Linked DNA regions of Pelodiscus sinensis. The protein of the gene in region 1 interacts with the protein of each later gene in a pairwise test. Links are inferred from orthologs where the notes say so. Each region holds a gene or a part of one and is shown in the gene's direction. Other genes may lie near its edges. The genes, in order: KCNA3 and CAV1.

Evidence for each region.
Region 2: the proteins of KCNA3 (region 1) and CAV1 come close enough for resonance energy transfer, tested with the Homo sapiens proteins (2 studies listed by BioGRID). The link is inferred for Pelodiscus sinensis from reciprocal best matches to the Homo sapiens genes KCNA3 and CAV1.

The regions. Positions count from the first base shown.
Region 1 is NC_134737.1:17,441,102-17,449,440, forward strand, and holds the start of KCNA3 (potassium voltage-gated channel subfamily A member 3), read left to right. Parts: upstream 1-4,976; 5' UTR 4,977-5,037; coding exon 5,038-6,765; 3' UTR 6,766-8,339.
Region 2 is NC_134711.1:45,953,198-45,961,528, reverse strand, and holds the start of CAV1 (caveolin-1), read left to right. Parts: upstream 1-5,279; 5' UTR 5,280-5,407; coding exon 5,408-5,437; intron 5,438-5,689; exon of another isoform or gene 5,690-5,828; intron 5,829-6,095; exon of another isoform or gene 6,096-6,118; intron 6,119-6,577; coding exon 6,578-6,742; intron 6,743-8,331. UniProt on the Homo sapiens protein: May act as a scaffolding protein within caveolar membranes. Forms a stable heterooligomeric complex with CAV2 that targets to lipid rafts and drives caveolae formation. Mediates the recruitment of CAVIN proteins (CAVIN1/2/3/4) to the caveolae.

The DNA.
Region 1 (8,339 bases):
TCCATGGGGATGCCCACCTTGTATTCGTCTTTCCTAGGAATTGAGGGACCGGCCCTGGCTTGACCCGCTGGAGTTGAGAGGCACAGAAGGGGGTAAAAATTGTACCTGGATTTGGTCCTTTGTCTTAAGTGTACACGTAGACTTAGAGCTCTTTAAAGATTAAGCTGTCACTTGGTACCATTATTTCTATTTTCTATTTTTATTTTCTTTGTAACCATTTTAAGATCTATATTTGCTAGCAGTTAAGAAGTGGAGCAATAGCCATTGTAACCATATGATTTATAAGCTTCTTTAATAAACCTGTAACTGGTTAAGTTTTAACCTGACTCCTTCAGTTGCTGTAACAGAACCAAGCACAATTTAAAAGAACTTCAGCCGGTCATAAGGGACAGGTATAGGGGGAACTTGAGTGTTGGGTCGTGTTGCTTCCAGAGGACAGATCCATTGGGGCATCTCTCAGCCTCCCTGGCTGCCCACTGTGAAGGGATCCTGTATCCTAGCAATTGAAATCTGAGATGTAATAAGCTCTTCCTATAAACTCTGGGGCGTCTGTCAGCCTGCTGGCTGCCCTCCGCGATGGGACCCCAGTCGTAGCGGTAAAGACACGGACGTTAAACTCTGCGGCGTCTGTCAGCCTGTTGGCTGCCCTCCGCAACGGGACCCCGGTCCTAGCGGTAAAGACACAGACGTTAAACTTCTTGGGGTGCCCCTCAGCCTCCTAGGCTGCCTGCTGTGACGGGACCTTGTGTCTCAGCAGTTAAAGACTTGGGTGTGACACACACACACACACACACACACTGCCCTGACCATCGGCTGACACTTATGTCCAAAGGCAGCAATACCAAAAAGCTGGTTGAACTATACAGTGAGACTGAAAGCCTCAGCTAGAAGTGATATTGTTGGTGGCCAGGACGAGCCCAAGATCCTTGAAGAGGAAATTAGTCAACGGGGATGCAATGGCACTCACTGAAAAGTGGCACTAATCACTTCATCCATGCAAGGAATCTGTTAAGCGTTAGCAGAGCCTACACATTTATAGCATGATGGAGAAGCAAACGCACCAGCACTTAGCTGCTGTTGCTGAGTATTCTAGGTGGTAAGAAGTGGCACACGACAAACGCTTCTGCTGATCAATTGGTCATGGCATGGCGGTGCACGTTTGCTGCCTATGGATCCTTCGGAAAACACTCTGCCATTTGCTTTGAAGACATCTCAAATTTAGCTGAAGAGGAATTTGGAAAAACCAGCATCAAATGGCTCTGTGCCCATGGGAAAGGAGGAGATTTTCAAAAGCACACATGGAAGGTATGTGCTCACCTCTCATTGGCATTCAGGGGGGGAGTTGGGGGCCAATCCATGCTTTGTCCCTTTGAAAATCTCCCCTTAAAGGGCCCTTGAAGAGAAAAATGAGGGTAGAAGTTTGTTACATTGTATCACAAGCTTTCTTTTCTTGTACAAGGTCGCACTGAAGGCCACCAGCAAAGGGTGGGTCAGTAAAGTTCTTGCCTCACTCACAGAGCAAAATTAAGGTTGTCCCGCTCCAGGGGCAGAAATTCTGCTTAGCATGAAGTTCCTATTTGAGGAAAAGGTCCCATTGTACATTTCTGTTTGCCTTGCTGAGAGGAGGCTTGGAGTAAGTCACTGTAGCTCAACTAATGTTTGATGACCTCATCCTGATTCACACCAGCTGAGAGCAGTCCAGGGTGGCAGGCAAACATCCCCATAAATACCTCACATTTTGCAATATTTCTTTCCCCCTGTAATTTTAACACATTTATATGTTTTCCTTGACAGATTCGGGTAACCCCCCTCATGCTACTTATAATACCCCTCTATCAACTGGAGAATCAACTTCACACCCCTAAAATAATGCACTTTTCTTCAGCTACAGCTGGAGTTCTCTATACAAAGTAGTTGCATGAGTTTCCCCTGGAGGTGCATTATTCTCCCGACTGAAAAATTCCATAGCAAATAATTGCCTTTGTAACCCAGAGACTCTGAGACCACAGAGAAGGTGTACAAAGTCAGCTGGCAGTCAGCTCATGTGGTAGTGGTGCAGGGCCTAAGGTTCCCTGGTCAATCCCACCTACTGACAACAGAGGTCTGTGACTTTACGCATTTATATAAGTTTTGCCTTCTCCTCTTGAGCCTTTCCTCATCCGTCAAAGCTGTGCATGGGCTACCACGTTCTTATTTGTGTCCTAGAGGCCAGACAACACTGATTTATTGGCCACATTTCCAGCAGGGGGGAAGAGATAAATCACACACAATCTTCATGTGCTGCACCTAAATACGTCTCACAGGGGTGGCCATGAGTCTGTATCTGCAAAAACGAGGCAGAGCCCTCGAGTGTAACATGACACAGTTAGAACCAGAAATGCAAAGCACAGAAAAATAGATCCCCTGACTCGGAAGTGATTGGGAATTTCCTTGGCTTCCTGTCCTTTGTGGGCAGACCGGTAAAAGGGGATTCTGACAGTCCTAGATTTACATTGCATGCCCCTAATATTGCACATTCCCTGGCGACTGGCAGCAGAGAACATGATTGTGCCTGTGAAGGGGAAGGACAGGCACTATCGCTAATTGTTAACATTGGTACAAATTACAGGAGCATGCAGTCAGGCTGAGGACCGGTTGTTCTGACATTGTACAAGTGGATGGTAAGGAACAGCCACTCCCTCAAGTTAGTGCAGTGCAATTGCCTGAAGTGCACTTGTCACCTTGGTGCATTTCTTGAATTGCAGAGGTACTGACACCCTTGGGCAAGGTGTGTGTGGGGGGGGGGGTGGCTAAGTGCTCTTGGAGTTTTGGTCATATGGGGTGGAGCCTAAGGCAGAAGGGGTGGGGCTGGGGACAGCCAGCTCTGAGCACTGCCCGGAGTGCACCATGCTGGCCCACAGGCAGCGCTCAGCACCACCCAGAGTGTGGCACCCCCAGCCCTTAGCGCTGCCCGGAACACTCAGTGCCGTGCTCCAGCAGCGACTGAAAGGACTCAGGGTTCCAGCTGCCACTTCTGCTGGCCTACGCCCCTTTGAATCACTGGGCCCCAGGGACTGTCCCCTTTGTCCCTTCTCCTCTGCAGGCCTGTGAGACGCATATCACAGACATGCTCACCACGTTGGGTATGCTCCTTAACACGTGGCTCAGTCTCTGCATGGCTGTAGCTGTCCAGATAAGATGTCTTCAAGGGCAGATATTCTCTGAGGTGAGCACCCTGAAGTACAAGGCACATGTGCTGAAGAGCATCAGACTGGCTGCCTATTAGGTGCCAAGGACACACGCAGGATATTTGCCTGCAAGAAAAGGCTGTTTGGGAGGAGGCTTTGCTTGGCCTGGGTGTGAAGTCCTAGGCTCCTCCAGTGAATGAGCAGAGTGTTTTGCACTGGCCAATCTGGCTCTGGGTTAGAATGATGCCACAAGAGGATCTGGAGCTTTTCCATTTTTGAGGCAGAGTGTGGTGAAGGGAAAGCTAGCTTGAGCTCCGTTAGACGCATGGGTATTCTGTGTGATATTTTCATGTGGTGTGCCTGTTGATAAATCCACCCTGCCTCTTTTTGTAATTTTGTTTGTAGCTTTCCATGTATTCTTGGCTCCTTTTATACGTTCGTGTATTTTCTACAGCTCTATTTATTTATAAATAAATTTGATCTTTTTATAGGTTTCCCCCTTCTGGAGGCTGTTTTGTTTAAAAATAACCATAGCAATAAATCAAAGTGGGGAGTAGAATCTAGAAAACTGGTGCTCTACATTTCCCATCTTGCTATCCCTTTCCCTCCGGAAAACACTGCTGTTTAGCCAGGATCTGGACTGGACTCCTCTCCAATTTAGCAATCTGAGCAGGCCAGGAATTAGTAGAATCATGTACATAGAATTCTACCCTGCATTTCAAGACGCGTCCTGGAGAAAAAACTTAGCTCAGGAAATAGAACAAGAGGTCACTTATTGAAAAAATCCACCACATTGTGTTGCGATACCCACTAGTTTAGTGTTTTAATTATCACTGGGTGTGCAGCCCAAAACGGGCAAGTTTATTGTTGTAGCTACCTAGCAAATATTGCCTCGGTGAGCATCTTAGTTGAAATGGCCAAGTGGGTGGAGGAGGTAACTATTAAAGCTGGTCAACATGTTTTGTGCAGAGTGTTTTCCCCACATAAACACCATGTTTCATCAAAACTGAAAAATTTTCACAGGAAAAAGTTCATTTTGATGAAAGATCTTGGTTTTTTCCGCAGGAAACAGTGAAACAAACATTTTCCGTTTGAATAAACAGTTCTAGATGCCATGAAACCTGTTTGGTTTTGTTCTGACGTAAAATGTTATTTCCTTTAGTTTTCTTCCAATTCAAATAAAAACAACAAAATCACAACTTCATCCAAATGCTGACACAAAACCTTTTGTTTGTGTTTCTTGTTCCCTTAAAATGTATTTTGTTTCAAGATGTGGATTTGAAATGACATTTGTATATGTCCCAAGGGGGGGTGTGAATTCTGCCTCACAATTCGTGGCAGGGAGAATGCGGGTTTTCTGACCCAAGCACGGTGGACTATTATCCTGGAGCCTGGGCACTGCCAGCCTGGGCGTGTTCCTCCTCCTGGCACGGGGGCATCTCTCTGAGCTCCACCTGGCCTGGGCGGGACGGGTTGGTGCCTTCCCGGTGCCCTGGCTGGCCATGTCTCAGCTTCAGCACCTCAGTGGAGAGGGACTCCCCGAGCCCTGCCTGGGGCGAGCCGATCTGCCCCCCCCCCGGGATGCCCATTATGCTTCCTAGCCTGGGGTGGGCACCTCCCGCTGGGAGGCATCTGGGCTGCAGCCCGCTTGGCTCCATCGCCTCGGGCTCCTTCTGGGGTAGCCGGGGCTCCCTGCAGAGCCCCCGGGCTCCCCGCCCGCCCCGCCCCACGCCCGGGCTGGGCGGTCCGGGGGCGGCCCCGGCGCGCTGAGTGGCGCTGGGCGGCGCTGGGCGGGGGGCGGACTTTTTGAGCCGAGCGGCGGCGGCTGGCGGCGGGCGGGTCTCTCCTCTCGGCCGCGCCGCTGCCCTGCATGGACGAGCACCGGAGCTTGCTGCGCTCGCCGGCCGCCTCCTCCTGCAGCCGGCACCCGCGGGGCGGCGGCGGCAGCAGCCACCACAACCCGGGCTACACCGAGCCGCCCTCCGCCGCCCCCCAGCCCGGGCGGGAGCAGGAGGAGGAGGAGGGCGGCATGACCGTGGTGGTGGGCGGGGGGGGCCCCCTGCTGGAGGAGCCCCAGCACCCCCACCCGTTGCTGGGGGGGGAGCGCTACGACCACCCCCCGGCCCACGTCCCGCTGCCCCCCGGCCACGCCCCAGGCGGGGAGCACGAGTGCTGCGAGCGGGTGGTCATCAACATCTCCGGCCTGCGCTTCGAGACGCAGCTCAAGACCCTGGCTCAGTTCCCCGAGACCTTGCTGGGTGACCCCCGCAAGAGGATGCGCTACTTCGACCCCCTGCGCAACGAGTACTTCTTCGACCGCAACCGGCCCAGCTTCGACGCCATCCTCTACTACTACCAGTCCGGAGGCCGCATCCGGCGCCCCGTCAACGTGCCCATCGACATCTTCTCCGAGGAGATCCGCTTCTACCAGCTGGGTGAGGAGGCCATGGAGAAGTTCCGGGAGGACGAGGGCTTCATCCGCGAGGAGCAGCGGCCTCTGCCCGACAAGGAGTTCCAGCGCCAGGTGTGGCTCCTCTTCGAATACCCGGAGAGCTCTGGGCCAGCCAGAGGCATCGCCATTGTCTCGGTCCTCGTCATCCTCATCTCAATCGTCATCTTCTGCCTGGAGACCTTGCCAGAGTTCAGGGACGACCGTGACTATGAGGCGACCGGGGGGACCTTTGGCACAAGCAGCGGCCCCTTGGCCACGGAGGTCTTTACCAATTCCTCCTCCTCGGCCGTCTCCATGGTCTCGTCCTTCACCGACCCCTTCTTTGTCGTGGAGACGTTGTGCATCATCTGGTTCTCCTTCGAGCTGCTCGTTCGCTTCTTTGCCTGCCCCAGCAAGGCCACCTTCTCCAAGAACATCATGAACATCATCGACATTGTGGCCATCATTCCCTACTTCATCACCTTGGGCACAGAACTGGCCGAGAGGCAGGGGAATGGCCAGCAAGCCATGTCCCTGGCCATCCTCAGGGTCATTCGGCTGGTGAGGGTCTTCCGTATCTTCAAGCTTTCACGACACTCCAAAGGGCTGCAGATCCTGGGGCAGACCCTCAAGGCCAGCATGAGGGAGTTGGGTTTGCTCATTTTCTTCCTCTTCATTGGAGTCATCCTCTTCTCCAGCGCTGTCTACTTTGCAGAGGCTGATGACCCCAGCTCAGGCTTCAGCAGCATCCCTGATGCCTTCTGGTGGGCGGTGGTGACCATGACCACAGTGGGCTATGGGGACATGCACCCAATCACCATTGGGGGCAAAATTGTGGGGTCTCTCTGTGCCATTGCTGGGGTTCTGACCATTGCCCTTCCCGTGCCTGTGATAGTCTCCAACTTCAATTATTTCTACCACCGGGAGACTGAAGGTGAGGAGCAAGCCCAATATCTACATGTCGGGAGCTGCCAGCACCTCTCCTCTACGGAGGAGCTGAGGAAGGCACGTAGCAATTCCACCCTGAGCAAGTCGGAGTACATGGTGATAGAGGAGGGGGGAATCAACAACACTGCATTCAAACAGGCTGCCTTTAAGACGGGAAACTGCACAACCACAAACAATCCCAACTGTGTGAACATCAAAAAGATCTTCACTGATGTTTAAAAAGAGGAAATGTTTAAAAAATAATAATGCAAAGTGACCATGTAATCGGTATTGTCTGGAACATGCATCTTCATTGGTCTGCGTGTGCCCTTGTTTTACACATATATTTTTTAGATCATTCCTATTAAAGAACAAAGAAGAGGATTACAAAATAATCAGAAGAAAAGAGGATGAGGGTGGTTATGGAAGGGAAGATGAAAGGACAACAACAGAAGAACACGCTCCCCGTTGAAACAGGTGTTTATTCTGAAACATGTTGCAGGGCTGCTTTGGAGCTTGGGGGTTTTTTTTGGTTTGGTTTGTTCTCGTTTTTGCAAAGAGTCACTGTGCAGCCGATTTCCCTTTCGATCACACACTCACGCATTTGTTGGACAGAAAACCGTGAGTCAGAAGAGAAAAATAAAATTATATGGCAGAGCCTTTTTGCAGGCAAGGGGGAGAAAACCATTTAATTTTACTGATGGCCATGTTGTTAAATTATGCTAAATATTGAACATGTGGTGCATGTCCTTCATGGGCACAGCCTTGATTTCTTTTCTTCCCTAGCCAGATCGTTTATGAAATTTTAATCTGTTCAGAGACCCAAGTGCAATCAGTTGTGATTTAATCAGAAAAATTGCCCATATTCTCTGTGCCTAATTTCCTTTTCCCACCTATGGAATTGTTTCATCCCACCTGAAATTCCTGGCTGCATGGTGTTTGTGGGGAAATATCCTTCCCACATTAGCAACTGACTAACCGAAGAGCATCCTAAGAGTTTGAACATCCTGTGAGGCCAATGCAGATGGGGGAAACTTAGGCTCCCATTAAATCAGTATTGGGCTTTTAGAAGTTACTGTGCAGCCTCAAACAAAACTCGAGCCTAGTATCAAAGTGTGTGTGGGGGTATTTCTGTCCATTTCCAATGTATCTGAGATAAGTGTCTGCATCTATCACAAGAGGATTAAGTGGCAAACGCCTTCCAGCGGAAGTTACTAATTCGGACCTGAGTGATGCAGTTTCCATAGCAACACTGGTTTCCTGGGAAACCCCAAAAGGTTGTCATGGTATCCCTTCGCCCCATCCCCCTTCAGCCTGTGCTGTTTCCACAGTAACCCTTCCAGATGGTTCCAAGTTCTGCGATTCCACGGAAAAGCCGCTGCTCTGGTAAACCACACACACATGCAGAGAGTTAATCCCAGAGAGAGCTAGGTGTAGACACTAATTACCCTCCATGCACACTGCTTTAGATTTGAAACATTCCTGCAGTCCTGGTACCTACCGAAGCAAAATGATCATCCTAGGAATAGGTAGGATGCTGCTGCACATGTTCAGAATAAAACACCTGTTCCTAGGCCATAAAGACAACAGACCTCCAAATTACCCTCGCTATCAAGTTAATATCTCATTGGTGAAATTAATTCTCTATATGCAAAGCTCTACATCTGCTCAGAAGTTCTAGAAAGGTGAACTCACCCGTTACTTAAACATATGGTACGTGACCTAGATTTTTCAAAAACCTCCCTCCAGTGCCAAACAGCAATTCCACTTTCAAGCATATACAGATTGGAACAACCTTTTTCACGCAAAAGGGT
Region 2 (8,331 bases), on another chromosome or scaffold:
GATGGCATTCACCCAAGTTCTGAAAGAACTCAAATGTGAAATTGCGGAACTATTAACTGTGGTTTGTATCCTATCCGTTAAATCAGCTTCTGTACCTAATGACTGGAAGATAGCTAATGTAATGCCAGTATTTAAAAAGGGTTTTAGAGGTGATCCTGGCAATTACAGAACAGTAAGTCTAACATCAGTACCGGGCAAATTAGTTGAAACAATAGTAAAGAATAAAATTGTCAGACACATAGAAGAACATTATTTGTTGGGCAAAAGTCAACATGGTTTCTGTAAAGGGAAATCATCTCTTACTAATTAATCTATTAGAGTTCTTTGAAGGAGTCAACAAACATGTGGACAAGGGAGTTCCAGTAGATATAGTGTACTTAGATTTCCAGAAAGCCTTTGACAAGGTCCCTCTTGGGCTCTTACGTAAATTAAGTTGTCATGGGATAACAGGGAAGAACCTTTCATGGACTGAGAACTGGTTAAAAGACAGGAAACAAAGGGTAGGAATAAATGGTAAATTTTCAGAATGGAGAGGGGTAACTAGTGGTGTTCCCCAAGGGTCAGTCCTAGGACCAATCCTATTCAACTTATTCATAAATGAGCTGGAGAAATGGGTAAACAGTGAGGTGTCAAAGTTTGCAAACGATCCTAAACTGCTCAAGGTAGATAAGACCAAAGCAGACTGTGAAGAACTTCAAAAAGATCTCACCAAACTAAGTGACTGGGCAACAAAAGGGCAAATGAAATTTAATGTGGATAAATGTAAAGTAATGCATTGAAAAAAATAACCCCACCTATATATATAATATTATGGGGGCTAACTTAGCTACAACTAATCAGGAAAGAGATCTTGGTGTCATTGTGGATGGTTTTCTGAAGACGTCCATACAGTGTGCAACAACAGTCAAAAAAGCAAACAGGATGTTAGGATTCATTTAAAAAGGGATAGAGAATAAGATGGAGAATGTCTTATTGCCCTTATATAAATCCATGGTACACCCACATCTTGAATACTACGTACAGATGTGGTCTCCTCATCTCAAAAAAGATATACTGGCATTAGAAAAGGTTCAGAGAAGGGCAACTAAAATGATTAGGGGTTTGGAACGGGTCCCATATGAGGAGAGATTAAAGAGACTGGGACTTTTCAGCTCGGAAAAGAGGAGACTAAGGGGGATATGATAGAGGTATATAAAGTCATGAGTGGTATAGAGAAAGTGAATAAGGAAAAGTTATTTACTTGTTCCCATAATATAAGAACTAAGGGCCACCAAATGAAACTAATAGGCATCAGGTTTAAAAAAAATAAAAGGAAGTTCTGCTTCACACAGCGCATAGTCAATCTGTGGAACTCCTTGCCTGAGGAGGTTGTGAAGGCGAGGACTATAATAGGGTTTAAAAGAGAACTAGATAAATTCATAGAGGTTGAGTCCATTAATGGCTATTAGCCAGTATGGATAAGGAATGGTGTCCCTAGCCTCTGTTTGTCAGAGGATGGAGATGGATGGCAGGAGAGAGATGGCTTGATCATTACATGTTCGATTCACTCCCTCTGGGACACCTGGCATTGGCAACTGTCAGCAGACAGGATACTGGGCTGGATGGACATTTGGTCTGACCCACTATGGTCATTCTTATGTTCTTATAAATGCTGACCAACTCTCCATGATTGTTTACAAGCTTTTCAATTAGAGTTTACATGTTGCATCTTGCATAACTCATATCTGAGTTATGCATATTCATATTCAAAAGCACATTTCCATAAAACTAAGGGGGCACAGAGTCACCATAAGCTCTTGCTCCAGCAAAAGTTGTGTCCTTGATGCAGGAATTACTGGGTGAAATTCTATGACCTCTTAGACCAGTGGTCACCAACCAGTAGATCAGGATCTACTGGTAGATCTTGGAGCCTTTGACAGTGATCCTGAGAGGTTTGGCCAGAAGACTATCAAGTGCTGGCACTTCGGCTGCCCCTCTCAGCACTGCCATGCTGCTCCTGCCCTCTGCCTTGGAGCTGCTCCCCGTACTCCTCCGTGGGAGCCTCCTGCTTGCTGTGCAGGGCATGGGAAGAAGAGGAAGGGAGGGTACTCAGGGTGCCCCTCCCTCCGCCCTGTACCCCACCTCCACAGACCAGCGGGGGGACGGGATGGAGGAAGTTTGCTAGCTGCTTTTGGGAGTGGTGCAGGGCTAGAACAGAGGTGAGTCCCCCTGCACCATCATGCAGAAGCCACCTGTGGTAAGCAGCGCCCAGCTAGAGTCTGCATTCTGAACCCCAGCCCCAGTCCTGAACCCCTCCAGCACCCCAAATTCCTGCCTCCAGCTTGATAAAAGTGAGTGAGGATAGGAGAGGGAGGATGGAGTGAGCAGGGGCAGGACCTCAGAAGGGGGGCGGGAAGGAGGAGGGGCAAGGGTATTTGGGTTTGAGGTAGATCCTGGATTGCAATTAAATTCAAAAAGTGATCTCATGCTTAAAAAGTTTGGAGACCACTGACTTAGACAATCATGGCTCCTTCAAGCCTTAACATCTGTGCATCAAGGAATGAGACTATATTTTAAACAAGTTCCCATGTTTCATGCCACATAATTGTTGGGGCCCAGTATCAGAAAGACAAATCACATAGGGAGGATATCAGTGGCCAAGGCTCTGATCCAATAATACACTTATGCATGTGCATAACTTTAAGCTCATGAAGAGTCTCACTGAAAATATTAGAAGATGGGATTCACAAAGGTATTTAAGCCAGAGGGGAGTTAGGCACCTAGATGCCTTTGTGAATCCAACCTAAATTACTTAAGTGAACTGCTCATTAATTCTTTTCAGTGTGTTGTTTTTAGTACTGCACACACTGAGGGTTGCTTACTGACAGACACTGTTTTTGAAATTAAAAAGAAACTGGCTGGCTCCTGTAGAAAATACATTTAAAAGAAATACATTGCCAGGGATGATTCTGATCTCAATCACACCAGAATATATTAGGAATAGTGCAGATGATGTCATTGGAAATACACAGGTGTAAAATAGGTGTAAAATGAAATCACAAACAGATTCCCCATGGACAGTTATACACTGTTACCTCTCAGTCTCATGTATTGCTGCTTGGAGACTATTTTACAACTCTGATACCTATTTGGTGTACTAGGAAATCATGTTGGGTGTTACTCTAGAAGCATATAACACAAGTGCAGAAAAACCTTCCACTTCAAAAAATGAGAATTATTGTCAGAATATTTTGTTGAATGCTACATGTAACTTTCAAACTTTAGGAAGGTTTCAATAATGTTTTCATATCTTCAGATAGAACTTTGTTGAAAAACTATCACAGCTGATGAACAGTGTAACTCCTGGTTACTATTCCTGGGCTCAGTCATGTTGCATTTCAATCTTCATTTGTGTTGGCTCATTTGTTTGTTTGACTCTTATGAAGGTAATGGTGTCATGGGAGATGGACACATTCCTATGACCCTACAGATCTGCCTCACACTCAGAAGTTGTTAGTATCAGTGCAATTTTCTCTTTATGATTTATTATCTTTTGACATTTTACTTTAAGCAGTAACTTGCATTCTTACCAGATCCCATAGTTCTTTTCAACCCCCAAGTTCCTTGATCTGGAATTCATCTTACAATGTGTATTAACCCTGCCAACTTTGAAAATTCTTTGAACTGCAGTGGTGCTGCTGTCCTAAATGACTTTGAAGCTTCTTAGAAACAGGTTTGTTCTGCACAATTTAAAAATTTTGAATCCACATAGACTTTGGAGTTAAATATATCTCTAATTTTGTCATCCTTAAGGCAGCAACAATGCTGAATAATGATTCTAGTTCTTCTCATGCAGGTGTGTGAAACTGACTAATTTAAATATCTCTAACTTGTAAAACAATATTGTGTTTTTCCTCAAACCCAGATTTTTAAAAGCTTAGGCCAAGTTTCTAGCTTCAGCCATTTTTAATTTATGCAAGCTCAATCTGTCTCATTGAAACACTTGTAAAGTGAAGTTTTGTATGCTAATTTAAGTCACTGACAGAATCAGTTTTGCTATTCTAAAAAAAGTTTATATTTGAAATGAGAATCAAGGTGAAACATAGCAATTATCAGTCCTTAAAGGATTTGCTTGATAAAGTTAAGAACACATGAAAAAAAGAGGAGGTGAAAGGAGGGATAATGCACGTCATTTAGGAACATCACTGTCTGAATCCTCTTTTCATATTTGTAGGTGATGAATTTAAAGGGCTATTTTACATCATGAAACCAAACTTTCCAGGTTCAAAGTTTACAGCTAGTTCTCCCAGTGCAATACCCTGCTCAAGGTAAAGTCAGAATAACTCTGAAAAGGTACACTTCTAAAAGGAAACAACTGAATGTTCCAACACGGTGAAATCTTGTATAGTAAAACAATGAATTAATTCCTATCACTAGTGCAGTAACTTTGTAACCCTAATCAAAATCAGTTAAGAGACAGAGTGCAAAACATTGTTATCTATTAACAATAAACCTGAATCCTTGAGTTATCATGGAATTTAGAGATTATGAAGAACCCCCATAGTGAAAACAATGCTGACTTTACTTCAATGCCTCTTATTTTAAAATCCTGGAAGATAATATGCATATGACAAACATGCTACAATATGCTGGCATTATTCATTTTCCACCCAGAAAAAAATACAGTAAATGCTAGTGGGAACTGTTAAATATTTGCATAGCTGTGAAATGAATCACTCGGGACAGTCTCTCTCTTGCAATCCAAAAAGAGCTCAATTTTCCACAATTGTTCTTATATGTAAACTATTGTCAAAGAAAAATACAAACGCCTTGCTTTGGTTTAGATGTGAAAAACAGATACTCTCATTACTTTCCGCTCTAAAACATCAACGCAACCGATTTAACATACGCGATGGGATGATGTGAAATAAGATTTATGAAGGAAATCGGAGGCTTCTGACTTAGACCAGAGACAGCTCCGAAGAGCTTGTAATCTTAGGGCTAAAATGAGGCGCTTCTCCTCCAACGCCCTCGCAACATGCCGACGTGCTGCAAAGTGATTTTCCTTTCCGAAGCAAGCAGCAGCCTCGCTTGGATCGCTGTATGAATGGTTGGCAAAGCAACCTCGCCCCATGTTTCAAAATTTGCACAGGCAGAATAAGGTCGGGAAAGTCCAGTTTCAGGATTCTCCCCTCCCTCCTCTTTATACCCCCTGCTGCTCGGAGGGCTTTGGGCATGTGCCTAGACCCACCATTGCTGTCATCGCAGCCAAAAGCAAACAGAACAAACTCTGGCCGGCGGCCAGCTGTCTCACTTATAGCTACCACCCCTCGCTTGCTTTCTACAATACAGGATCTTCCTTTCTGAGCTCGCCTAAATTAAATCGCAGGGAAACCTCAGTCCGACTCTCCGCCAAGTCCAAGACAGCATGTCTGGTAGCCAATACGTAGACCCAGAGGTAGGCTTTGCCTAGGATGGGATCCTTTTAAAAGTCAGTTTCAGTTCAGATACTTCTTGTGCCTGCTTCTTCCTGGCTACGAGTACCTGCTTCAAGCTAGCGCTGGCTTCTCCGGGCATTCTTGGCGCTTTTCTGCACTGATTTTGCTCTTGACCGTGACCCCTTCCCGCAGAGGAGCGAGGCGGTGCTGGGGAAGCTAGCTTAGAGATAAGCAGGGCGATCGGGGTTGGGGGGGGAGGGTTGGTTTGTTTGGGGTTTTTTTTCCCTTGTTTTTGGTCCATGTTGCTGACTCTCCAGGGAAACCCGATCTGTCGGCACCTCTCCCCATCCAGAGCCGCTCGCCTTCCCTGAGTCCGGTGTGTAGGGACCCGCGGCAGGGCGAAAGGGGCAGGTGAAGCGCTGACAGCTCCTTGCGCGGGTTGTTATTGAGGCTGCGGGTTGTTTTCCGGCCAGCCCGAGTGCCATGTTGCACGAAAAGCGAAAGTCCCCCAGCCGCTCCCTCTCCCCCCCCCCCCCAGGGGGCTGTTCGGCCCGCGGCAGCCTCTGGGGCAGGGGGCCCGCTCTGCCCCCGGCAGCGAGTCCCCTGGGAAGGCAACAGCCTCTCCCCTCCCCCCGCCGGACCTGAGTGCCGGGGTGCGGTGCGAGGGACGGCGGCGGGCTCGCCCCGGGGGCTGAGCTGAGGTCAGAGCTGCAGAGGGGGCCGAGTGAGGGACGCTGCGAGGAGATGGGGGGCTGGGCCCAGGGCTCGGCCTGGGGGGGGGGGGTGCAGAGCCGCGACCCCGGGGGCAGGGCCCGAGACAAACGCCGCGGGCTGAGACCTGGCGCGGGGATGGGCCAGGGGCGCTGGAGAGGGGCCGGGGCCGGGCACATGCCCGAGGGGCGCGGCGGCGCTGCCCGGCCGGGGACCCCTGGCGGCGGGAGCGGGAGTCGCTGCTCTGCCTGGTACCGCGCGCCGCAGGGAGGGAGGGCGGGGCGGGTGTGGCGAGGGCTGCTGCTTTTATCCCGTTAAAAAGCAGCCGCGGGGCAGGCTCGGCGCTGACGGGTTCCGGGCTCCGCGCGCGCCGCTGGATGAGCGAGTAGCCCCTGCCCCGCCAGCGCCCAGCCCCGGGGAGCCTCACCTCTGCCCCGCTCCGTCCCCAGGGGCTGCTGTACAGCGCGCCCGCCCGGCAGCAAGGCAACATCTACAAGCCCCACAACAAGAGCATGGCCGAGGAGCTGAACGAGAAGACGATGCACGACGTGCACACCAAGGAGATCGACCTGGTCAACCGGGACCCCAAGCGCCTCAACGACGACGTGGTCAAGGTAAGGGGCTAAGGCCAGGAAACGCGAGGAGCAGGGGGCTGGAGCTATGGGGGGGGAGACGGGACTTTTTTGCCACAGCCGCTCCCAGGGGCGCGGAGTTTGCAGAGAAGCCACGGAGGGCGTGGAGCGCATTGGCGGCAGCTCATTGCTTCCCCGCCGCGCTGTCCGGGCAAACTTCGGAGCCAGCGGGGGTGGGTGGGTCACGCTCTTCTAGCCAGTTCTACAGGAGCTCTGTGGTCTGGGCCCCTTAGGCAGCTTGCGAGTCGCGGGAGCGCAACGCCAGCGGGGGGGGGACCTGCCCCCCGGCTCTGCGCGCCCCATAAGGCGGGAACCTGCCGCAGGGGTGTTGATTCCGCACCCTTCTCAGAGCCGCTGCCAACTCTCTATCGAGTCTACACGGGAACCAGGTAGCTGCTGGAGCTTTTGCACTTTCCAAGCCAATACCACACAGGGCAGCTACTCCGCGGGAAGGGGCTGCCCCAGCAGGGAACCCGCGGGCTGTGTGTGTGCACTGACAGATGTACCCAGCGTGTCCTTGTGTTGGAGTCAAGCTGGCTGCAGATAGTGGTTCATAGTGGGGTGGGGTGAGACATTGAGTGAACATTACCATATTTAACACAGGAAGGGAAATTTTACTGGCCAGCAATGATTCCTGTAAGTACCCTATTAAGGAATAGAAAAAAAATAAAAAAATCAAATTGCATTGTTAAGAATGTTGACCAGGATTTTGCTAAGTGATTTTCCTGTGGAACAGCTTTTGCCTGCTCCAGCTGCATACAGCTCACTTTTGTTAAAGCCAATTGCATGCAAAACCATAGGGCCTGGTTATTTTTTCTCCTGTACTGAAATAATGAAAACAGGCAATACAAAAAAAAAAAAGAAATAACTGTGGCTGGATTTTTAATTCTAGTTGTGATCATTTCAGCAAATCTCAGTTAACTGTCAATGTTGCCAAGGCCAAGGGTCAGAAAAACCCTAGTGTTGATCCTTCTTTAGCAGAGGGTGTATACTGCACATGTGAAGGCCAATGACAGTGTTGTTCAAGTTAGAATATGGGGGGGGGGGGGGGGAGAAACACTCACTTATTTCAAATCCAGCAGTAGAATGGTGCAATTTTAATCCATCCTGCCACTAGGCTGGGAGGTAAAGCCTGCCTTTTTAGATTAAAGAAAACATTTCATTCTTTCTGTATCAGAACAATTTCACTTTTGTTGATTTCACCAACTCGCCTTGAAAATTTAGACCTCTAGAGCATAATCCTAAAGGGTACGGAGCATTCTTAAATCTCATTGGCTGCAATAAGATTTCAAGCAGGGGCTGCCCACCTGGTTGGATCAAGTCCTAAAAGTTTTTGCAGGCAGACAGTATGCATATGGTACTATTTTCACTATGTTGGCTTTACAATCTAGAAACAAAAGTTAAATTCTGTACATATGGAAAAATGGTTGACAAAACACAGAATAGTACAAATCTAAATTTACAAACCACCGACTTGTTTATCAACTGATTTTTTTGGTTTTCCCTTTGGCTGTGAAAGAAAAGGTGTAGCAGGAGAGCTATACAGGCGTTCAGAGAGCAGCATGGTAGTT